Pelodiscus sinensis: one gene and its partners. The protein of the gene in region 1 interacts with the protein of each later gene in a pairwise test. Links are inferred from orthologs where the notes say so. Each region holds a gene or a part of one and is shown in the gene's direction. Other genes may lie near its edges.

Region 1 (7,855 bases):
GGGGGATGGGCAGGGAAAGAAGATTGATATCCATTTTGGAGGGGGGAGGTTAGTGCAACCTTTTCTTTGGTTAGATCATCCGTTAAAATCAGTACAAATAACCCTCTCGTTACTCCTGGGGTTAAAAGGGAGAGACCTGAAGTTATCCATTTGAGACTAAATCCTTATTTTACCATAGAATTCAGTGGGAGTATCGCGTGATCAAACGTCGCGAGAGAAGGCCCTTACGGTCTTCAGTGAAACTGGTGAGGCAGAGTGTACAATTAAAAAAAAAATAAAAAAAAAAAAATAAATAGTGGGATAATCCATTTCCAGTGAGATACTTTAGACGTGTAGATAGCTGAGAACTGTGTTTTAAAGCGAAGACCAGACCACAATTTCTCCCAAGTTCTTAATGTTCTCAAAACTTTTATGGCTATTTTTAAATACCGTCCGAGGGTGTGATTTTTTTTAACTCATTTTAAGTTGTTCGGCGCATTTTTTTTGTTAAAACACTTAGCAAATGTACATGTTCGGGGTGATAAACAAATGTTAACTATTGCCATGTACTGTATCTTATGATATATAGTGGACTATTCAGAAGTGGATGCTATTGTTAAAGCTGTTTGCACCGGGCGTGCTAATGCACTGTTTGATTGAGTGAATTAGCAGTCATAACAATCTGGCAGTCTGGCCATAGAAGTGTGCTCAAATTGATTTGTGTTATGGCTGGGCTGGAAAATCTAGTGTTAGTTGTTTTTTTTTGCCCTGGGGCATTGTTTGTACCAAACTCCACTTTTCATTTAATTTTCCAATAGATTCCGAAAGACTTAAAGGTTTTGGGATCAACATTTGGTGTATTTTCTTTATTAATTATTATTTTTATTATTACTAAATATCCTACAAGTAATTTCAGATTCCCCCCAAACCTTGCTTTCAATTAAAATAAACATAATTAGCGTGACGTCGTGCTTGGAATGGTAAGTCTTTCTTTGCAGCTATTAAGCATGTTATCATCTTGTCCAGTATGTATTTGTATTGGGTGAGGTTCGGGCTAATTTTACTATAATGCAACAATTTCGAAAACTAGCACTGTGGTATCTAGTTTCTAGTTGTTGGTACGAGATGTTACATCTATCTCAAATGTATTCGTGTTTTCAATACATATTTAAAGGTTCAGCAAATATCTTAGTGAAAAAAGGACCCCAGCATCTAAGCTTACATTGTTATAACTTTCCGTTTTCCTTTCAGAATGCATGGGTGGTTCGATATATGTCACCTTTTACCCTGGCTCCCCGCAAACATACAGGTAACTCCAGGAAAAGGGACGCTGAATGGAGAGCCTAAATATTTAAAGCACAACGAAACTTACAAATATTTACAAAAGAAAGGTATCTTCCTCAGAAGTCTTCTGCTTTGCAATCGTTTGCCAGAATTATATTGCAGTATGAATAAACCTAAAAAAAATGCTATTGATCATATAGAAAGCTTTGTGAAATCATGTAGTCAGTTTCCCCACTTGAAAAATCGGTGAACAAAATAGGTCAATAGCTAAGAATGAGAGGCGATAAAATAGAATAGTGTATTTTTCGGGAGGGGATGTCAAAATAAATGCAGATAGAATCTATGTTAATGAATTTAACGTATGTCTGGATATATATCACTATCTACCTACCTTCTTGCACCAATCCCCTCTCCTTCTTCCTACCCGACATTCTGAAGTTAGTATTCTTCTGTTTGACTGAAATTATTTACAGTAACAACTGGTGTCTAGAGGGTGCCAGGCGGTCAGGTATTCAGAGTACTTAAAATGAACAGCTACAATACATTTCCTAATTACATCTTACATATTTCAGCTGACCGTAAAACTGGATTTAATAAAATAGTGAGCTCCGGAACAGGTGCTGATTTTTAAAATAATAAATTATAACTATCCATTCATCTTACTGTTTCAATATACCTTCTCCTTCACCGAAATGGTCATAAAGAGGGGGAAAAAAACAGAGTACCTGCCCTGAACTGTTATGTGAGCACAAGAGAAACCCTGCTTCAAACAATATCCCAGGAATAAAATTAAAGACTTCTTAATTAGTGCAGCAATTAAGCCTTCCTGGTCGCATTTTAATCAGCACAGGCCCTATCAAAGGACAAACAGAACGATTTGCAGGTCTTTGAATTTTAAGCAGTCTTATTGATTTCAGCACCATAAGTCTTCACTTGACACAGGGAGAATTCTCAAATCAGTTCTAGTGCTTAGAGTTTTACTGATATACATTCTGGGGTGTTGGGAGGCGAAGCTAACAATATCATTTCTTGAAAGGATCGACGTGACATCAAAATGCAATATGAAAAAAAGTTTGAAGAGAGGAAACGACAACTACCATTATTTGTTGGTGTGAGTCTCTGGGTTAAAATAAACCCAGTTTGCTTTAATTGCTTGGAACACTCACCAAGCAAGAAGCTTTGAAGATTCTTGAACCGTTTCATAAATGTGTTGGTTTCTAATCCCATTGTTTCATTAAAACAGTACCGTTAACCAAAACTATTGTAGCAAATAATTTACAAACCACATTTTTAAACTATTTAAAAACACAATGGGTGTCCTTGAGAGCACACATTTAGAAGAAAATCAGGAATGCATCCTGTTGCAGAGTAGGTAAAGAGCAAGTGATATGTGGCAGGGACATGGGGGAGGCGTTTTGAATAAATTCAGAATTCATTCAGGGATTGAGGTGAAATGGTTACATCACAACTGTTCAGCCCTGCATTAACTTTCTCAGGCGCATGTTTAATGACTATCGAATGTATATGAGTGTGTGAAAATAGGGAAATTAAAAGAGTGACTGCCAGCAGTAGGTTTTCAACAACTTTGATCCAAGTTACCTGAAAATAAAATAATTGCAATTCGGTTACATCTTCAAGGCCTATAAAGTATTTTCAACGTCAGGCTGCACCACAATTAAAGTTCCATATGCATTCCTATTTTAAGGTTTGTTTGTGTTTCTTGAACTTTGTAACTTGTATTGTTGGTACACAAGATTCAAGTTTGAATGTGATAACCGAACAGCTTTAAAAAAGAAAAGAAGAAAAAAATAGAGTATTGGGAAAATAAAAGTTCACTCGCTGAAGACACCTTATGGTATTCATAACTAAATAAACTGGAATTTAAAAAGCAATCTCACAGGTAGTGAGGAAGCAAGTCATAACAGAACACTAATAGCTATTGGCAAACTGAAAAAGTGATTTCCTTCCATATTATAGAAATAGTTTCCATTAAGATTCTTATCATCCATCTAGACTTGTAATCCCATGATTCTTGTCTCATATAAATATTACACATTTAAAAAAAAGAACAGGCAAGGGTCAGGTTGAGTCACAGACTACGAGTGATTAATTTACATTGTTTAAAACCCCCTAAATAATGCGTATAGTATTGCTGCAGCTCATACATTTGTACAAAGAATATTGCTTTGTTAAAAAAAAACCAGAAACCCCCCAAATAAATAGAAGACCAAAGCAATTCCCCCAACCAGAACCAAAAAGGAAATTCCGAATTCAGACTAAAATGTTACCTTTAACCCTTAGAATTTCCAGGAGTTACAGTATATATGCGGCCTGATCCCACAATTCAAATATATAACTGCATAGCTTATAAAATTAGCTACTGCGCATGTGTGGGCAAGCGCAACAGCTAATTTTACAGCATACCTGCTGATACGGTCAAAGTATCAATGATCAAACTTGGATGTGTGGCTTGCAGTCACCTGTTGTTCACAGACCGTTGCAATACCTAGACAAAACAGGGTGGGAGTAAGCATTCAGTTTCAGCTCTGTGACTTCTTGGCTATTTTATTGAAAAGTTACTTCAACCTGATTAGAACAAATGTTACAAACTAATTCTTTTCACACGTTTTAGTTAAAAGACCTCCTTTTTGGTAGCTATCACAAACACAATCAATCAAACGTGAGTTGGATCCTATGTGCTATGAAGGCAGCCATAAATGCCTTTCTTGTTTAACAGCGTTACACTTGTGATCAAAAAGTTCATGGGAGCCTACAGATGAAAACAGGCACTTGTTCATTGCTTTAAAAATTACTGCGGTCGCCCTTGCCAGAAGAATCCTTTAGCACAAAAAGTGCTATTACTAAATTGTATGAAAAACAAGTGCTCGGTATTCTTTGATCCATAAATGTCTCGTTTTCTGTAAATATTTTTTCGCTTGCTTTTCTTTCTCCTGTAGTGCTACATGCTCCTTACAATTACTAGTCTTTCACACAATAAAGGGATCTAGTGATAATTATTATGCTCTTTCTGGAATCTTATTATTAACTTTCATTCCTGTCACTTGGCTTGTTTGCTGTCTTGAGAAATATAATCCGTTTTTTTGTTTGTTTTCAAATAGATAGGCTATTCATAAAGAGTGCTTCGTAAGGTGTGTAGTCGAGTAAAGTTCCGCCCCCTTCCTCTACTCCCCATGTTCTACGTTATGAAAAAGATGCGCCCTAATTCTTGTAAGAAGAAAAACTTGATGTGTTCTTGGTTCTCTGTCAAGAGTGTTTGGATCGCTTAGAAGTGTTTGAAAATTACATCTCGTCTCTGTTGAGATGAAATATGAAACATATAATCTAACGGTTTCTGGGGAGGAGGAGGAGGAAGAGGGATCTCTCTCTCTCTCTCTCTCTCTGCTCCGGGTTCCTGGTTGGATAATTTGGGTTAATACTAGTGAGTGAGGCTTTTGCTGCTTCAAAGGGTATTTCAAGTTGCCGGAGCTCCTCCCCTCTGCACCGTGTGACAACAACAACTCGTCCAGAGAGCTAGAGAGCGAGCGAGCAGCGAGCAGCAGCAGCCAGCACTTTTCAGCTCATTTTCTCTCTGTCATTCCCCTCTCAATCTTTGATCAATGTACTTGCCAGAGAGAACCGAAGTCCTTCAAACCTCCTCCTTTTCACCTTCATCTTTAACTTGGTGCTAGAGCAAGGACCACAAAACAAACCACCCTCCGCCGCCCCCCTTCCCCTAAACCCTAACCCTACTACGCGCAGCGGACTTCTCCTTCCCCACTTGCGGGACACTTTGTGCATTTCTCTCTCTCTCTCGCTCGCTCTTCCCCTTTCTCTGCCTCTCGGCGGCAGCTGGCTTGGGGCTTCCCCCCCCAAGTCTCTCTCCCCTCCCTCCCCCCTTTTTGTCAGCGCGGCAACTTTTTTCCCCCTGCCCCTCACCCCCCACTTCGTATATGTGACCATGGCCGTACCGGCTGCTTTGATCCCTCCGACCCAGCTGGTCCCCCCTCAACCTCCGATCTCAACTTCTGCCGCTTGTACCACCACCACCACCACCTCGTCGGCCACCTCGTCTCCGTCTCCGTCCCTCGCTCCCCCGCCAGCCTCTTCGGGGACGAACCTATTCCGGCCGGAGCCCAGCGCGGCGGCGGCAGCAGCAGCGGCGGCCACAGTCACCTCTACCACCAGCAGCGGCGGAGGCGGCGGCAGCAGCAGCAGCAGCAACGGAGGAGGCGGCGGCGGCAGCAGCTGCAGCCCCAGCCTGGGCACCAGCAGCAGCAGCAGCAGCAGCGCAGGCGGCGGCGGCGGCACCTCCACCCCCAGTGCCAGCACCGCCAACAGCAGCAGCGGCAGCAGCCTGCCGGGCAAGCCGGTGTACTCGACCCCGTCGCCGGTGGAGAACACCCCCCAGAATAATGAGTGCAAGATGGTGGATCTGAGGGGGGCCAAGGTGGCCTCTTTCACCGTGGAGGGCTGCGAGCTCATCTGCCTGCCCCAGGCCTTCGACCTCTTCCTGAAGCACTTGGTAGGGGGCTTGCACACCGTCTACACCAAGCTGAAGCGGCTGGAGATCACGCCCGTGGTGTGCAACGTGGAGCAGGTCCGCATCCTGAGGGGACTGGGGGCCATCCAGCCTGGCGTGAACCGCTGCAAACTCATCTCCAGGAAGGATTTCGAGACCCTCTACAACGACTGCACCAACGCAAGGTAAAGACACCCCCCCACACACACACGTTTCTCCGCTTCTCCCCTCCCCCCCCCCTCCGCCTCCGTCCCACCCTCACACAGGCAGCCCTGACACGCCGCCCGGGCAGCTACCGCTCCTCTTCCTAGTGGTGCCGCTCAGCAAGCCCTGGAGCAGCCTGCTCTCTTCGCCGCGTGCCCCTCTCCCCCTTCCCTGCTGCGGGCGCACGGGGCTGGGCCATGTGCTCCGAGTGGGCCAGAAAGGTGCTGGGTGGGGGGTGTCTGCTCTTTCCTCAGCCGCTTTCAAGTGTCAGCCCGGTGCTGTGCGACTCTTGACCCTCCCCCCCACCCCCAGGCTGCATGGGCAGGGCGCCTCCTTCCTTCGAGCGCCGGCTGGGGAGGGGGGCGTGGGGCTGGGGCGAGGCGTGCACCAGGAGAGCTGATTGTAAACTCTGGGCTGAGAGTGATTGCTCTGACCCCCCCCCCCCGGGTTGAGTTGTATAAAGAGCCACGAGGCAGCCAGCAAAGGTGATGTGAAGGCGGGGGCGGGGGAGGCTGAGACTCCTTGGGAGTCGGTGCACAGCGCTGGCAGGGCTGTCTCTGAAGGGTGGCCCCGCATGCAGGCCTGGCTGGCTCCCGAGCAGCGGCCGCGGGGATCGCTCGGCAAGGGGCGACTAGATGTGTGGCAACTGACGGCTGTTGCCACGGGGGACGTGGCGTTGCCGGAGGGGTCAATAGGGGACAGTTGCAAAGGGCCAGGCCCGTCCTGCTCTCTCTGGTGGTGGGCTAGTCCCAGGGAAGCAGGTGCGTGAGCGAGGCGAGCGAGTAGGTGACTCGCGGGGAGCAGAAGTGTGGAGGGGATTTGTCAGGGCTGACTCATATTACGGCGCATCTGATTAACAGTCCGGCGTGCAAGGGGGCGAGAATCACACATGGGAAGGGAGGGCAGCGTTCCAGCTCGGGACAGATCGCAGGGCACCCTCACCCGTCAAAGCACTCAGACAAAGGGAGCCAGTGATAATCTCAAGTTGGCGCAACTGGGGGGAAACTGACAAAAGAGGAAATTCCTTCTGAAGTAACAAGCTTGTTTAAAAACGGCGAGTGAAAGAACGGGGCTGTTCCCACTAAATCTGTCTGATTAGGAAAGGGAGGCAACGGGAATTAAACAACTGCTGTGAGCTAAAGAGCAGAGTGTTTGGAAGCTTCTTCACTTCATCGAAGCCTCTGTTGGCTTGTGGGGGGGGGGGGGGGGTGTCTGCTGGCTTGAAACCGTTCTGGAGCTTGGTGGGAAACTTTATAGAGTAGTTCAGATTTGCCATTAAAGAGTCTGTAAGCAGAGTCGCTTGTCAGATGATGTTTTCATTAAACGCAAACAGACTCTTCCAACTCATAATTTGGATTTCACTTTTTTCCCCTGTGAGATTTTAAAGATGCAGCAGCGGCAGCACGTGGGGAATTAACCCCCGATGAGACTTTGTTCATTCAATTTTGTAATGACTGGGTGCGACTCAATTCTTTCTTTCCCTCTCCTTTAATTAGGGGGGGGGATGGGGATGTTGGACTCATTATCCTAGAGAGCAAGGCAAAGGAAAGCACTCGTTCGTGCCTTTACGTCTAGCTTGATTATCTAAGTTTTCAAATATACAGGGGAGCAAGATAAATATACCCTGGAATAATTTTAGAACATTGTTGCTCTCCTATAACAACTTTCCTCTTAGTTGTGTACTAGACATTGTGGTGGAATCAAATGAGCATGCAAATGAAGAATAATACAATGCAGTGTTATATGTATTGAACAAGACTGATTTAAAAAAATGTACGGGCTTTATTTTTTGTGACTAAATCCTTCCACTTTTGCAAGTTGTAACACGATTTGACAATATGGTTCAAACAGGCTGGTCATATCAACACT
Region 2 (7,910 bases), on another chromosome or scaffold:
ACATAGTCCTGTATTTTGTTTCAGCTACATTATTTAGGGATGTGAAAAATTTTGCACCCTGTGCACAGAGTGACTGCTTCCCCTGTGTAGGTACAGCTACTGGCTCCTAGAGAAATGGATTGCCAACATCAATAAAAGATCTTTTCCCATTGATGTAGGGTGTCCTTATACTACAACAGCCTGCAATACTTCTATGGCACTCGTTATTATATTATCTGAGCACTGCACAGTCTTTTGTATATTTAGCCTCCCAACACCCCATGCAGTGGTGGTGTCATTTTACAGAGCAGGAACAGAGGCTAAGTAACTTTCCTAACTCTGTCATAGAGCAGAGACTTAAATGCAGTTGTCCCTAGTCCTAGGCTTGCGTCCTACCCTCTTACCATTCTACCTCTAACTGTCCTATCTGCTGAGATTACCAGAAAAGGGGACCAGCTCTTGTCTCTGTACCCATTAAGATTTTGTGATGAGGAATAAGTCTACTGGGAGCTGGATTGAGTCTCCCACCACCAATGCCTTTCACACCCTGAGCAGCCAGATAGTATAAGCTTTTGCAGGAAGGCCAACATGCTTCTCACCTCAGTTTTAAAGACTTTGTACATTGAGTGTAAATGAGTCACTGCAGGACTCAAGTTAACATTCAGGGGTAGTTACAGTTTTCACGGTAGTTTGAAGGAAGCAGTATTGAGGCTGTTTGGGTGTTTGAAGTGATTGCTTAAGATGTAGGCCTTCTGTGTGAGATGGCGTCCAAATCAGGTTTTGCTGTAATCTTACATTTAGATAGACTTAGAGCCTTTCTTCCCACAAAATCCCAAAGCACGTGACAAGTGATGAGAATCACTTGATCCACTGCAAAATGTGGCCACCTCAGGAGAACATGTCAGCTGTTTTCCCCCAGGCACAGGAACACAAGGGAACAGATTAAAGCAGGCAGTGTAGATCAGCATCCTAATCAGTGGAAGCTGCAGAAAAGCTAGACAAGGCTGCATGTGATTTCAGGTGCTGAAATCTGAGCAGGAGAGTGCAGTGAACAGCTCATACTTACAGAACATATCAGGGATCCTTCCATGACCAAGGGCTTCCATGTTCAGTATTTAATCAGACTTGAAGAAAATAATGTTGGCCCAGTCTGATAATTAGCCTTCTCTTGGAAAGAGAGAAGGACCCACAGTTTTCATTGACTTCAATGACAGCTGAAAAAACCCAGTAGTTTACAGAATCCGTATGCCCAAAGGATGTGTGGTGTACCAAGAGATGGACCTCAGCAACATTTGTCAGAAGCATAAATGGGTACAACGTAGTAAAGATCAAGTTCTGAGAGTATGTGGGTAGGGAGGGCTAGGACTCATAGCTGGAAGATGGAACTTAAATAATTTTGATGGGCAAAATAAGAGCTGACTTCAGGACTCCCAAACCAGTGTTTAGATTAGAGAGAGATCTCCTCCTATCCAGCCCACAAAAACATACAGCAATTATACAGTTCTGCAGACAAGCAGCAAAACTAAAATTGACGGGGAGCGAGCTATGCTGCATCTGCAACAATCCATCTTATGATTTTCACGCTGTAGCCCTTGCTCAACTATTTCCTTCTACCTTCCTTCCTTAGTTGCTACTCCTCATGTTCTGACTGTCTACACTGAGGTGGTGACCAAGCAAAAGCTTACACCCATGTGTAACTTTACTCATGTGAGTAGTCTCATTGATTGCAAAGGGGCTGAGTAAAGTGAAAGATATGTGTGCTTGCAGGACAGACTAAGGTCTATGGGAGTGCTTTGATCTGTAAGAGATCCTGGTGCTTTGTCCACATATTCATTCTGCTGATACCATTATTGGACCTAACCAAGTGAGTTATAAGATCAAGAACACATATTCCTGCGCATCCAGAAATATAATCTATGCTATCATGTGCCGAAAGTGTCCATCTGCTATGTACATTGGACAAACATCTCAGACACTTCGCCAAAGGATTAATGCCCACAAAACAGATATCAGACAAGATCACAAAGAAAAAACAGTTTCTTGCCATTTTAACCAGAAAGGACACTCTCTCAGTGACTTAACCACCTGCATTCTGCTACAAAGACCTTTTACATCTGCACTTGAAAGGGAATCCTCTGAACTGTCATTCATGTTAAAATTCGACACTCTCCAAAAAGGAATGAACAAACACTTGAACTATCTTACCCATTATCAAGATAGCTTCCCCAATTATCACCTCTAATACCATTAACTCACAAACATCCCACTCTCCCCACCTCTAATATCAATTCACAGACACTTACCTTCCTTCCTCCCCCCTCCCCCTGCATTCCCCTTCTGTTCTGAAATGTGATTTGTCCTTTTCATATGTGTTCACTTTTTTTAATTGTATCCTTTGGTATATATGGTTGTGACTATTTTCTTCCACTATTTGATCTGAGGAAGTGGGTCTGGCCCACGAAAGCTCATCATCTAATAAACCATCTTGTTAGTCTTTAAAGTGCTACATTGTCCTGCATTTTGCTTCAGCTACCCCAGACTAACACGGCTACATTTCTATCACTATGGTGCTAAATGATATGCATGTGGTATGTGCCTGTGGATGCATGAAGGCCATCAGTGCACTAAGCCAAAGATCTAATTATCTCAGTCAAGAAACAGACCTTACATTCCTTCAGGATGGCATTTAATGTAAATAGGCTGCAAACTCTGAGATAAAGGGGCTATTTTAAGACCAGCCAAGATACCCAAGCTGGGTCACTTTGACATGTAACCCTTTGGCTTCCTTGTAACTTTCATGAGTGATTTTTAAATGTGTGTGTGTGTGCTTGTTGCCTCAGTTTCCTTCTCAGTAAAATGGAAACTGAGTTACTGACCTCCTGTGCGAAGGGCTTTGAGAGCTATGGATGGCAAGTGCTCTATAAAACAACATTTTTATTAACAACCAATCTCAAAATGTTTTACAAACCCTAAGACATGAAGTCTTATAACAGCCCTCCCCTGCCCATCTCTATGTGTGTGTCTCTTTTTCACATACACACCCCTTGGCTATGTCTACATAGGCATGATTTTGCACCAGAGATATGCAAATGAGGCTAAGCATGGAAAAACAGTTTCTTGCCATTTTAACCAGAAAGGACACTCTCTCAGTGACTTAACCACCTGCATTCTGCTACAAAGACCTTTTACATCTGCACTTGAAAGGGAATCCTCTGAACTGTCATTCATGTTAAAATTCGACACTCTCCAAAAAGGAATGAACAAACACTTGAACTATCTTACCCATTATCAAGATAGCTTCCCCAATTATCACCTCTAATACCATTAACTCACAAACATCCCACTCTCCCCACCTCTAATATCAATTCACAGACACTTACCTTCCTTCCTCCCCCCTCCCCCTGCATTCCCCTTCTGTTCTGAAATGTGATTTGTCCTTTTCATATGTGTTCACTTTTTTTAATTGTATCCTTTGGTATATATGGTTGTGACTATTTTCTTCCACTATTTGATCTGAGGAAGTGGGTCTGGCCCACGAAAGCTCATCATCTAATAAACCATCTTGTTAGTCTTTAAAGTGCTACATTGTCCAGGCTTCATGAACTGGGCTTGTTTAGTTTGGAAAAAAGAAGATTAAGGGGGGACATGATAGCGGTTTTCAAATATCTAAAAGGGTGTCACAAGGAGGAAGGCGAAAATTTGTTCCTCTTGGTTTCTGAGGACAGGACAAGGAGTAATGGGCTTAAAGTGCAGCAGGGGAGGTTTAGATTGGACATTAGGAAAAAATTCCTAACTGTCAGGGTGGTCAAATATTGGAATAAATTGCCAAGGGAGGTGGTGGAATCTCCCTCTCTGGAGATATTTAAGAACAGGTTAGATAGACATCTGTCAGGGATGGTGTAGACGGAGCTTGATCCTGCCTTGAGGGCGGGGGGCTGGACTCGATGACCTCTCGAGGTCCCTTCCAGTCCTATTATTCTATGATTCTATGATTCTATGAATATCTCCGGGCCTCATTTGCATATCTAATGAGCTGCCATTTTTGTGGAAGAGGCTCTTGAGCCAGAAGGAGCTGTCTACACTGCCCCTTCTTGCGCAAGAAAAACCCTCTTGCGCAATGCCGCTACGCTGATTATTTTCAGGAATAACGGCATCGCGCAAGAGGGTTTTTCTTGCGCAAGAAGGGGCAGTGTAGAAATTCCTTCTGGCGCAAGAGCCTCTTCTGCAAAAATGGCGGCTCATTAGATATGCAAATGAGGCTCGGCAATATTCCACACTTAGCCTCATTTGCATATCTCTGGTGCAAGATCACGCCAGTGTAGACGTAGCCTTTAGCTACGTCTACATTGATATGATTTTGCGCAAGAACTCTTTTGTGGAAGAGTTCTTGTGCAAAAACTCTTCCAGAAGAGAGCATCTACACTGGCATGTGCTTTTGCGCAAGAGATGTGTTTTTGTGCAAGAGCATCCGTACCAGTGTAGCCGCTCTCTTGTGCAAGAAAGCTCCAATGGCCATTTTAACCACAGGGCTTTCTTGCGCAAGAAATTCATGTTGCCTGGCTACACTGCCCTCTTGTGCAAGAACAGTTGCGCAAAAGGGCTTATTCCTGAGCGGGAGCATCATAGTCCTTGCGCAAGAAGCCCTGAGTTCACGCATTAGACCGTCAGTGTTCTCGGCCAGGACTCCCCGCCAGTGTCGACAGGCAGCAAGCTTTGGCACGAAAGCGGCTGCTTTTGCACAAAATCATGCCAATGTAGACACAGCCCAGGTGTCTCTCACACAGTGTGTTGCAGGCACTGGTACAGACACAGAAGCCCTGTCACTCACACACACACACAGAGTTGCTGCTGCGTGTACGTCTGCGCGTCCCCTCCCCTCCCCGCGCGGCGCCACTTGGTACAGCCCATGCTCCCCCGGCTGCCCCTCGCGGTGGCGGCTCCCGCGCACGGGGCTGACGCTGCCGGAAGCGGCTGGGCAGGGGGCTGCTCGGGGAGAGCCCGCGCGCCGCAGGTATCCCGGCGGGGGGAGCGCGCGCAGCCGGCAGGGACAGTGCGCGTGCAGCCGGGGGGCGCAGGGACAGTGCGCGTGCACGGGGGGGGGCGCAGGGACAGTGCGCGTGCAGCCGGGGGGGGGGCGCAGGGACAGTGCGCGTGCAGCCGGGGGGGGCGCAGGGACAGTGCGCGTGCACGGGGGGGGGGCGCAGGGACAGTGCGCGTGCAGCCGGGGGGGGGGCGCAGGGACAGTGCGCGTGCAGCCGGGGGGGGGGCGCAGGGACAGTGCGCGTGCAGCCGGGGGGGGGGGCGCAGGGACAGTGCGCGTGCAGCCGGGGGGGGGGGCGCAGGGACAGTGCGTGCACGGGGGGGGCGCAGGGACAGTGCGCGTGCAGCCGGGGGGGGGGGGGCGCAGGGACAGTGCGCGTGCAGCCGGGGGGGGGGCGCAGGGACAGTGCGCGCAGCCGGGGGGGGGGAACAGGGACAGTGCGCGTGCAGCCGGGGGGGGGGGCGCAGGGACAGTGCGCGCAGCCGGGGCGTGGGGTGGGAGGGCAGGGACAATGCGCACAGCGATGGGGGGAGGGGGGGCAGACACAGCGTGCGCAGCCGGGGGGGGGGGGGGAACAGGGACAGTGCGTGGACAGTGGGGGGGGGCTCAGGGACAGGGCGCGTGCAGCCGGGGGGGGAACAGGGACAGTGCGTGGACAGTGAGGGGGGGCACAGGGACAGTGCGCGCAGCCGGGGTGTGGGGTGGGAGGGCAGGGACAGTGCACACAGCGATGGGTGGGGGGCAGAGACAGCGTGCGCAGCCTGGGGGGGAACAGGGACAGTGCGTGGACAGTGAGGGGGGCGCAGGGACAGTGCGCGTGCAGCTGGGGGGGGCAGGGACAGTGCGCGCAGCCGGGGCGTGGGGTGGGAGGGCAGGGACAGTGTGCACAGCGATGGGGGGGGGGGGCAGAGACAGCGTGCGCGGCCGGGGTCAGGGACAGTGTGTATGTCGGGCCCGAAAGCCACAGGCCCACCCTATGTATCCCGTGTGAAATGGAAACTGCTCCAGGCCAGGGGGTCCCTAGCAACCCTCCCCCCACTTCCAGCCCCCATGGGAGGGGAGGGGAGCCTGCCTTAGAGCCAGGCAGCTGTGGGCCTGGCACCATTGACTCGCTTCCTCTCCGCCTGCTGGCACTGGACTCGTGTGCGGCGCCAGCCCTGCGGAAAGGCCCACGAGAGGGGAGATGTGGGTTACTGTCACTGGAGGAACGCCGAGAGCTAGGAAATGCAAAGGAAGGAATGATTTAGAGCCAGGCTTCTGCACACCTTTCCCTGGGCATGTTGATTGGGAGGGAGGCTTCTGGGCTGGTCACTGCATGAAGAGAGAGAGAAAACCTAGAGGAACTCCCCAGTCAGTGAGTTTTGTTCCTTATGACTGTGGGGAAAGCAGGTTGTGTTGCTCCCGTCTCTCGTGAGGTCTTTGCTGAGGGGAACTCCTGTTTCCAGGAGTCTGCAAAGCATCTTGTGTGTGGTCATGGTGCAGTATAAAAATACCCATATTTGTACATGCTAAAATGGGGGTTAATTACGTCCCACAGTTCAGGGCACAAGCTGATTGCCATGAGGGTCAGGAAGAGCGTCTCTTCTCCCTACACAGCTGCGAAAAATCTGTCAAGGGCGCTGTGGGTGTTTTGCCTCCCTCTAGAGCAGCGGTTCCCAACCTTTTCCAGATGGGGACCCATTTTGACAATTCAGGAAGACTTGGTGACCCAGGGCAATTCAAAAAATGTGTGAATAGCTCCTTAAGAGCCACCTGGGGAGACACCTGGCCACCCTTGTGAAATGTAATGGTGACCCATATGTTGGGAAATCCTGCTCTAGAGCCCTGTGAGGCCTATGTCAGGATGCTGCCTCCACAGAACCGAGGGTCTGCCCAGGTGCACAGCTCCTGCATTCTGCTAGATGTGACCTGCTTCCTCTCATGCTCCTCCTGCTTCTGGATAGCTTGCAAAGGGCATAGATGGCTGAAGGAAGTTTTTCTTCACTCAGCGCACAGTCAACCTGTAGAACTCCTTGCCACAGGATGTTGTGAAGATTAGGACTTTAACAGGGTTAAAAAAAGAGCTAGATAGATTCATGGAGGTTAGGTCCATCAATGGCGATGAGCCAGGATGGGTAGGAATGATGTCCCTAGCCGCTGTCTGGAAATGGGTGACAGGAGAGGGATTAACATGAGGATTACTTGTTGTGTTCCCTCCCTCTGGGGCACCTGGCATTGGCCACTGTCGGCAGACAGGACACTGGGCTAAGTGGACCTTTGGTCTGACCCAGTCTGGCCGCTCTGATGTAAGGAGTCTGCCCTGGGGCACCTACTCTGAGAGACAGCCTTGCTCTTCTGTACGGCTGGGACAAGGCCACCTAGCACTCTGCGTGGCCAGTGAGATGGGTTCAGCTTTCTGCCAGTGTAAACCCAGGGGCTGAGGAAGGTCATGATGACAGAAAACAGCTTTAGCCTCTCCAACCCTGGGCCAATAAGTGGGGGTGCCCATGGGAGGTGCTCTCATTTTATCCCCGTGGAACCCCAGCCAGCCAGAAGCTGCCTCGGGGTGAATCCCCACAGAGGTATTGGTCGGAGTGGGCCGGCACAGGAAGGTGCCATTCACAGCACCCCGGGTCAGCTGCAGGAATTCATGCCGATTCTAGCAGTCAACGTCCCTCTCTTAGCGACTTTGAACATTTTCCCCCTCCATCACGATGCAGGCCTGTTGTAAGCCAGTTGGCTGTGGGGTGTGATCTGTAACCTTTGGGATGATCTTGTTGTATGTTCTATTTCTTGACGACTCAGGGCAGAGAGCTGAGCATCCCGTGGTGATCGATTTCGTTTCCAACGCAGCCGACTGTTTCTTCCCGCACCATGTTTGGCTCATCCAGGGGAGGAGTGAGGGGGGGGC
Region 3 (7,796 bases), on another chromosome or scaffold:
CCCTCTGCATATGGTTCTCTGTTGCTGCTGTGGCTGGCAGAGGCATAGCCAACTGGCTTTGCTGACATGCCACCTGTCTCCACCCTCCTGGAGTGCAGACACAGTAGCGGCCAGAAAATGCAGGGATTGTTACCTGCTGATGGAGACAGTAGAGCTACCTGGCCATGCCTCTGGCAGGGATGGGAAGCTGCTTACGGGAGCCACCAGAGGTGACCATGCCCCATCTGGCATCCTGAACCTCTCCCTTGCCCCAACCCCCTTTCTGAACCCAAACTCCTGGAGCTCATGCCCTGCAGCCCCTTCCATGCCTCTGCTCAGCACTCCAAATGCCTCCCTCTTAGTTCACCGGCATTTTCAATTTACCAGCATCCCTGTTCCCCCAGTGTGCCAGATGAAAGGGCTTCAGCTGTACTTGCTTCTATAAGGCCTGCATTTGAAATGCTTGGTTTTATTATCTTCCAGTAAGATAAATTTGGTTTTTTTAATGAGCTGCTCTGTGACTTGGCTTCTAGTATTCATAATTGTCATAGAAACCTGAAAACATTAATTTTGTATGTTTTAAATCAAAAGTTGAAACATCCACACATTACAAGAAATAAATTCACTGGATTGTACTGGGTTATTTTTTTTTAATTGTCAACTGTGGCCAAGGTAACTGTTACAATTTAGGTTGGTGATAGAATTGAGGTCTGTCACTAATCAATTTATTTGCCACAGGGATGTATTTGAAGGAACAAGAAGTTGCAGTGTGTACAATCTGCTCATTTGCTCTTTCCAGACAAATGAAAGAATTTGTGTTCCTATAATAAATTAATTAGAACATTGTGCTTCTACTATAGCTCAATTAAATCAATTTTATGGGGTATCAGAAATGGTATACATCTTAATATCTTAAGGTAAATGGTTGTGGCTAATTAACCTGCTGTTAAATGATAATACCAGTTTTGCAATATTTCCTGTACAGTGCCTGTTCACAAGAAGCTCCCAGAACTCGTAATTCATAGTATTTGCAGCACCCATTTCAAGTACTGGAAACATTTTAAGAAAAAGTGCTATACGGCCTACTGTGAAACATTACAAGTACTGCTCCAAATGATCTCTGAGCTAATGTTAGGACTCATCAGCCTTCATCAGTTTAGCTTGAATTACTTCAGTGCTAGCTCTAGTTACACCACTAACACTCCTATAATCCCACTCATCCTTCAGTGAAAGTACTGGAAACCTGTGGTATCATACACCTCTTCCCTTTCCATCCTCTAGTTCCACCAATTAACTATACTTCCTGTTTTTCAAAAAGCTTGTTTGAGGATGGAATCCCATTGATATATGAAGATTCAGCAAATGTTAAGTAGCCATAGGTGTGTAAGGTCAGTATAATAGGGGAATTTCAAACAATTATCTAAAACACAGAAGATCACTGGCTGCATCCTTGCTTTACATTGCTCATATTGATGGTATTAGATACTATGCTTTGCTTCAGAATAGTTAACAACTTATCATAAACTGTTATTTGTCTCTAATGGGATGTGGCTTCTCAGTTGCTGGAGTCAACCTTGCGTGAATTCAAATTTGATTTCAGTGTGTCTTTTGCTGGTACTAGCTGTTAGAAGAACAGATACCTTTAATTTATCTGATCATAAAATATGGCCTTAGTTATTCTTGAGTCAGCTGTACAAATGATAGCCAGACCAAGCTATCATCAAACATAACAGCTCTTGTGCAAAGGCTGGCTATTTTTGTAACTTTGTTCAGGCTATAGTTGTCTTGTCTCCTCCAGATAGTTCTGATTTCCTTTTGCTTCTGATAGTGTGTGGGTAAGGGATGTCTTATTTTTGAGAACTTGCTCTATATCTGTGGTGTGCAACCAGTTCTATTGCTTTTACAAACAAGCCACACTCAACCAGCCAAATGGCCACATGTGGCTAGCGTAGTGGATGCTATATTTTTGAAAGATCAGTATAATTGGATTCAAAATTTGAAGTACATTTTAAGTTACAGTTGTGACTGAAATCCTGGATACATTGTGTACTCTGAAGAGAAACCAACCTACAGATTATGCTCCATTTGATTCTCTCCATCACCCTTCTCCATCTCCTCTTCCCCCTCCCGCCCATGGTGGAGCTAACACAGGCAACAAGCAATGTTACTCATCAAGTTAGTATTTCAACCAATGCAAAAAGTATTTTTCAAAAAGAGGCCACAATTTCTTAAATGTGTAAACTATCAAAACTTAAAATCTAGCAGCACCTTAAAGACTAACAAAACATGTAAATGGTGGTATGAGCTTTTGTGGGTACAACAAAAGCTCATGATATCACCTACATGTTTGTTAGTCTTTAGTGCTGCTAGACTATTTATTGTTACATTTTTCCAGTTAGACTAGCTTGTTAAACTATCAGTAAAGTTAAGTCCTTCCTAGGAAGAGTTTACAGTTTGATAGGCAAGATTACATAAGGAACTGAATTAGGAGAACCAGAATTAAAAGGAGAACAGCATTGCTTGAGTTGTGATGGTGATGGATACTTATTTACCAACTTTGAATCTATCACTTATTTGCAATCATCATCCCTGAAATGCTTCGTTTGTCATTTTGAAGTAAATGGAATTATAATTAAACGAAATTCCCTTTTTTTAAATTCTGCATTGAAGGGCATAAACATGCTTCCTCCAAGTTTTGGAATAATAGGTTAAAGTAACTGATTTTTAAAAAAAGTTTAACAATGTTAAAATGCAATTTCTTGCCTGTGAGAATTTAAGCAGTTTTTGGTTTGACACACACAAGGTGGGTAAGGTTCAATAAAAGGTATTGATTCCTGTGACACAAGTTTTGAATTTACACAAGGCCCTGTGAATTTGCAGTATCTGATGGGATTGCTTTTTTCACCTTTAGTGATTTTTCCAAAATAAAGTTTCAAGAAACTTAAACAGCAAATAGTCCTGTGGCACCTTTAGGCTATGTCTACACTCGCGGCTTCTTGCGCAAGAACATCTTGCGCAAGGGTTCTTGTGCAAGAAAATGTCCACACTGCCATGTGCATGCTATGCTTTTGCACAAGAGCTCCCATGGCAGTGTGGATGCTCTCTTGCACAAGAAAGCTCCGATGGCCATTTTAGCCATAGGGCTTTCTTGTGCAAGAAATCCCTGCTGAGTGTCCACACTGCCCTCTTGCACAAGAGCTCCTGCGCAAGGGGGCTTACACCTGTTAAGGAGCATAGCTCTTGCGCAAGAAGCCCTCTTACCACACCATACTGTAAATTTCCTTGCGCAAGAGCGTGCGGGCAGCGTAAAGGCTCTGCAGATTCTTGCGCAAGAACAGTCATACTTGCCCAAGAAGCCGTGAGTGTAGACAGAGCCCCAGAGACTAATAAAAATGTAGATGGTATCATGAGCTCTTGTGGGCACAACCACTCCTTCAGATGAATCATCTACATTTTTGTTAGTCTAAGGATGCATAAAAATATACCCTTACCTTGATTTAAGCTACACAATTTATGCCTCCAAATAAGATCATTTTGAATTTAATTTTGAAATAGTGGTATTTTGACAATACCAGAAGTAGCCTGAAATAGCTCTGTTGTGTAGATGTAGTCTGAGGTCCTGCAGACTATTGGCTGTTAAGTTTTCTAAAATAGAGATCTATCATTAGTGGCATTTAAAACAGTATAACTTAGTTCATTATGGCTACGTCTACACTGGCCCCTTTTCCGAAAGGGGCATGCTAATTTTCAACTTCAGAATAGGGAAATCTGCGGGGGGTTTAAATAAAGATGTCCACCGCTTTTTTCCGGCTTGGAGAAAAGCCAGAAAAAAGCATCTAGACTGGTGCGATCCTCTGGAATAAAGCCCTTTTCCGGAGGATCTCTTATTCCTCCTTCAAAGTTTAAAAGGCAGCAAAGGGGGCCACCTAGGAGTCATGCTGGTAAAGCAGCAGCAGGCAAGAACTGCCTTCCTGCCAGAGCACCAGAAGTCAGGTGCTGCCTCCTGCTGCTTTGGCTAGGTTCCAGCGCAGCAGGAAAAATCTGTGCAAAAGTCCCTGCACACCTGTTTTCCCCAGGAGAAGAAACAGAAAAGTGCAGCCACGTGTAGCTATGCTGCCATTTCTGGGATGTTTTCAGTGTTTTATGGGGCACCTGGACAGGCAATTAAAATTTGGGACTCTTCCAGATTTTCTGGGCCGTATGGTCAGCATAGTCATGGTGGTGCCCAGCCAAACCTCAATATTGATGCACAAGCCAAAACTCATTCTTCTCACAGTTGGAAAAATCTTAAAGGGAGCACTGGTCCGCACTGCCATTACTAGTCTATACTAACCCCTCAGTACCTCCCCAAATAACTCTTTGAAATACAAGCAGCAGTGTTAATTTGAAATAAGCCCATTATTTTGAAAGAAGAGGCGTGGTGATGTGGCTGCTCACTGGGCTGGCCCACACCCACTGAGGCTCCCTGCAGCCTCGTTTAAAAGGCAGTCATGGCTCTTGCTGCAGGCAGGTTTTTGGTAGGCGAAGTTGCTTCTGCTCTAGGACGTGCTTTCTCCTCCGGTCCCCGCACGCTTAGCACCTAGAGCACGTGCTGGGGGCCAGGCGGCGGCGAACACACCCCGCACTCTCCAGCGCTGGAGCTGCCAGGGCTCGCAGCCTCGGGAAAGCCAGGCTGGGCTCCCACGCGTCTGCGCCTCGGCTGGACGTAGACGGGCGCCGCTCAGACCTTCCTCTCCTCTTGTCCGCGCGGCCCGCTGACCAGCCACTCCCCCGTCCCGCTCCGCAGGGCCCTCCTCCCTCCGGCAGGGGGCGCTGGCTCCTGGCAGCGCTGCTTAGAGCTCACCGGGGCCGCTCTTGGGCCCGGCCGTGCGGGGAGGGGCGGACAAGCGGTGGAGGCCGCCCGGGCCCAGGTGAGAGCGGGGACCAGGAGGCTCGCGGTCCGTAGCTCGGCCGGGGCCCGGCGCTGGCAATGCGCGGGAGACGGGGGTGCTGAGGCGACTGGAGCCGGGCAGCCCTGAGGGGAAGGGCGGGGCTGCCTGGGAAAGTGTCTAAGAATCCGGGGCCTGACGCTTCTCTCCTAAAGTCCCGTGGGAGCGCCCGTGCCAGGCCGGCGTCTCCTTTCAGGCGCTTCCCCTTCCCTCGCAGCCCTGTCCCTGTGCGGGCCAGAGCCCTGGACCCGTCTGCCGCCCCCACTTCTGATGGAGGCAGCGGCCCGAAGGGGCTAGGCTGGGGCTGATACTTGCGAGGACCCCGCTTTCAAGCAGGCTCCCTGCGTGTGTCAGCTCCCTGGACCTACCTGCCCCTCCCCCCCTGTTGCTTCCTTAAAATCCCATTTTCCCCCCTTCCCCAGCACCAGCTCCCCGGTGCCACCTGCTACCCACTCTCCCTTCTGTGCTTCTAGCTCCTGCCTGCCACCCTGCATTGCTGTCTATCAGAGGCTGGCAGGAGGCTCCTTGGAATATACTGGCTGCCAGCCCTGGCCCCGGGGACTATCGACTAGTCAGTCATGTAATGATAAGATTTCATGTGTTTACACGACTGTTCAATTACAGGATATTTAACATCCTTAGTGTTTACCTGGCTTCATGCCCCCACTGCTTCAATTGGTTGTGATTCCAGTCAATGGGAGCAGCAGGGAAAGCTTCCAGGTGAGCTGTTTCCTGCACTGCTGTTTCCCTGGCTAGAGGGAACACCGAGTGGCAGAATGTGGAGCCACTTCCTTCACAAGCCAGATCTGGCCTGGGAGGTTCTCCTCCACCCTGCAAAGTGGGAAGCCGGTGCTGGCACTCCAACCTCTCAAGGAAGACTGTGGGACTGGACCACCACTGCAGGGGAGGAGCCTGTGGCCCACCTGCAAGATGGTCATGGACCACACTTGGAGTATTACTGCCCTGGGTGTTGAGCATTATGTGTTTGACACTGGTCTGGAGTTAGTGGACTCTGTGGTGTTAACTCAAGCTGCCCAGGCTAAAGTTAAGTGTTCCAGCAAGAGTGGGCACACTGGGAACTGGAAATATTATTTGATTTGCCTCCAAACAATTGTGAGAGAAGCTGAGGGATTGTTGTAGTTGAGCTGCAGTCTGCACTCCCCTGACCAGCCAGCCAACCTGAGTTCAAAGTGTCACTGCACTTAAGATTTTTGTGTGTGGTCAGGTATTGGATTAGGGGCAATACTTGAGTTATAACTAAGTCTTAACTGCAGCAAAGACAAGCACTAAGTGTTGCAGGAGTCTGAATCCATGTATGCTGTACATCTGTGCTTCTGTAATGTAGACAATACTTCAATGGAAGGGATTTTTTGGAGGGCTAATTTTTGGTGTCCTGGACAGAGCAGCCCCTGCAAGGCTGGAGTAGTCTCCGGCCCGTGGCAGGTGGAGAGCTGCTCCAGCCCCACCAGTTAAATGGTTAAACTTTTGCAACCCTAGTGTAGAGAGGTACCTGCACTATCTTTCATCTAGCTAGATAGTTTAACAAGGCAGTGTGGGCTGGTAGTGCAGGCACATAGCCAGGGGACCATAATGGTCTTGGGCTGCCCACTATTACATCCTCGCTTCCTTCTTTAGTAAGTTATTTAAAGATAGCCTGGGTACAGCTACATAAGCTGTCATTTTTTTTCTTTCTTCAGTCTCCGATTTCCATCTCATCAAATGAATAAAGTGTAACCTTGATACTATTAGCACTGCCTTACATATTTCATTCTATAGTGTTCTTCAGCCGTTGACTTTCTAAGAGTTAGTCTCTGATTATCTGGGTTTTGAAGAGAGCCATTTTTTAGAACTTTAAAACTGCCAACAAATGATAGAGCATGTGTGGGATCTGTAACTGGAAGAAAAAGAGTAATTATGTATGGTATGTTTTTATGTTGTGCTATTGTGGTTTTTTTTATTTTCATTTCAGTGACATTTATATATATACGCACACACACAGACCATTCAAATTGTCTATTTAGTCCTTGATTTTTTTGGTTGGTTTCTTAATTCTGCAGAAAAGTTAAATGTCTTCAGAAGATAAGGAAGCTCAGGAGGATGAGCTGCTGGCATTAGCTAGTATTTATGATGAAGATGAATTTAAGAGGGCAGACTCTGCCCAAGGAGGAGAAACAAGAATTTGTCTGGAGTTGCCCCAAAATTTCAAAATATTTGTGAGTGGTGAGTCCAGATGTTTTTCATTATTCTAAAATGATTTTTTATAAAAAAAATACTTTATATTTTCATACATATATTCCAAAGGTGGCTCCCCAAACATTTTTATTTTATTTTCGTGAAACATCAAAGTCAGGAACAATTTGTCATACATTACGTTATTCCATGGGGGACTCTAGAAGCAAATTGATGTAGATATTTGAGTTACTTTCATGTCCATCTAGTGTGTTTTTGCATTGCATTGCATTTTTGTAGTGCCTTTCACCCAAGACTCTTGAGTTTTGAAATATTAGATAAAGTACATTATCATTTTTAAAATGTTTTAAAGAAATATTGCTTACTATCACAGGTAACACTGAGCATTACTGTAAGTGTCAACTTTGAGAAAATATTATTTTGTATTTGTTCAGGGCATTGAATTCTATATTGGACACAATAGTGCGTGTGTAGTTAGCTTCATTGGTTCCCATATGCAATAATTCTGTTTTCCTTGTTTGTATAGGCCAAATTTGGCTACGGGAATAACAAGTAACAAACACACACTTTTAAACTTTTGGCCGAGGGACTTGAAATTATGTTTAATTCTGTTTTTAATTGTATCTCTTTTAAGCTTCACAGTCTGTGAAGTGGGTATTAACTCAGAGAGGTGCCTTTGCTTCATAGACTCATAGACTC

What was found.
Region 2: the proteins of DACH1 (region 1) and C2H1orf35 interact in binary tests that used the Homo sapiens proteins (3 or more experiments, as listed by UniProt). The two-hybrid records come from large-scale screens. The link is inferred for Pelodiscus sinensis from reciprocal best matches to the Homo sapiens genes DACH1 and C1orf35.
Region 3: the proteins of DACH1 (region 1) and RNF14 interact in binary tests that used the Homo sapiens proteins (3 or more experiments, as listed by UniProt). The two-hybrid records come from large-scale screens. The link is inferred for Pelodiscus sinensis from reciprocal best matches to the Homo sapiens genes DACH1 and RNF14.

The regions. Positions count from the first base shown.
Region 1 is NC_134711.1:269,754,754-269,762,608, forward strand, and holds the start of DACH1 (dachshund homolog 1), read left to right. Parts: upstream 1-4,783; 5' UTR 4,784-5,221; coding exon 5,222-5,967; intron 5,968-7,855. UniProt on the Homo sapiens protein: Transcription factor that is involved in regulation of organogenesis. Seems to be a regulator of SIX1, SIX6 and probably SIX5.
Region 2 is NC_134712.1:252,797,936-252,805,845, forward strand, and holds the start of C2H1orf35 (multiple myeloma tumor-associated protein 2), read left to right. Parts: upstream 1-4,845; 5' UTR 4,846-4,990; intron 4,991-5,936; exon of another isoform or gene 5,937-6,374; intron 6,375-7,804; 5' UTR 7,805-7,873; coding exon 7,874-7,910.
Region 3 is NC_134727.1:24,328,487-24,336,282, reverse strand, and holds the start of RNF14 (E3 ubiquitin-protein ligase RNF14), read left to right. Parts: upstream 1-4,731; 5' UTR 4,732-4,889; intron 4,890-4,992; exon of another isoform or gene 4,993-5,627; intron 5,628-6,964; 5' UTR 6,965-6,973; coding exon 6,974-7,127; intron 7,128-7,796. UniProt on the Homo sapiens protein: E3 ubiquitin-protein ligase that plays a key role in the RNF14-RNF25 translation quality control pathway, a pathway that takes place when a ribosome has stalled during translation, and which promotes ubiquitination and degradation of translation factors on stalled ribosomes.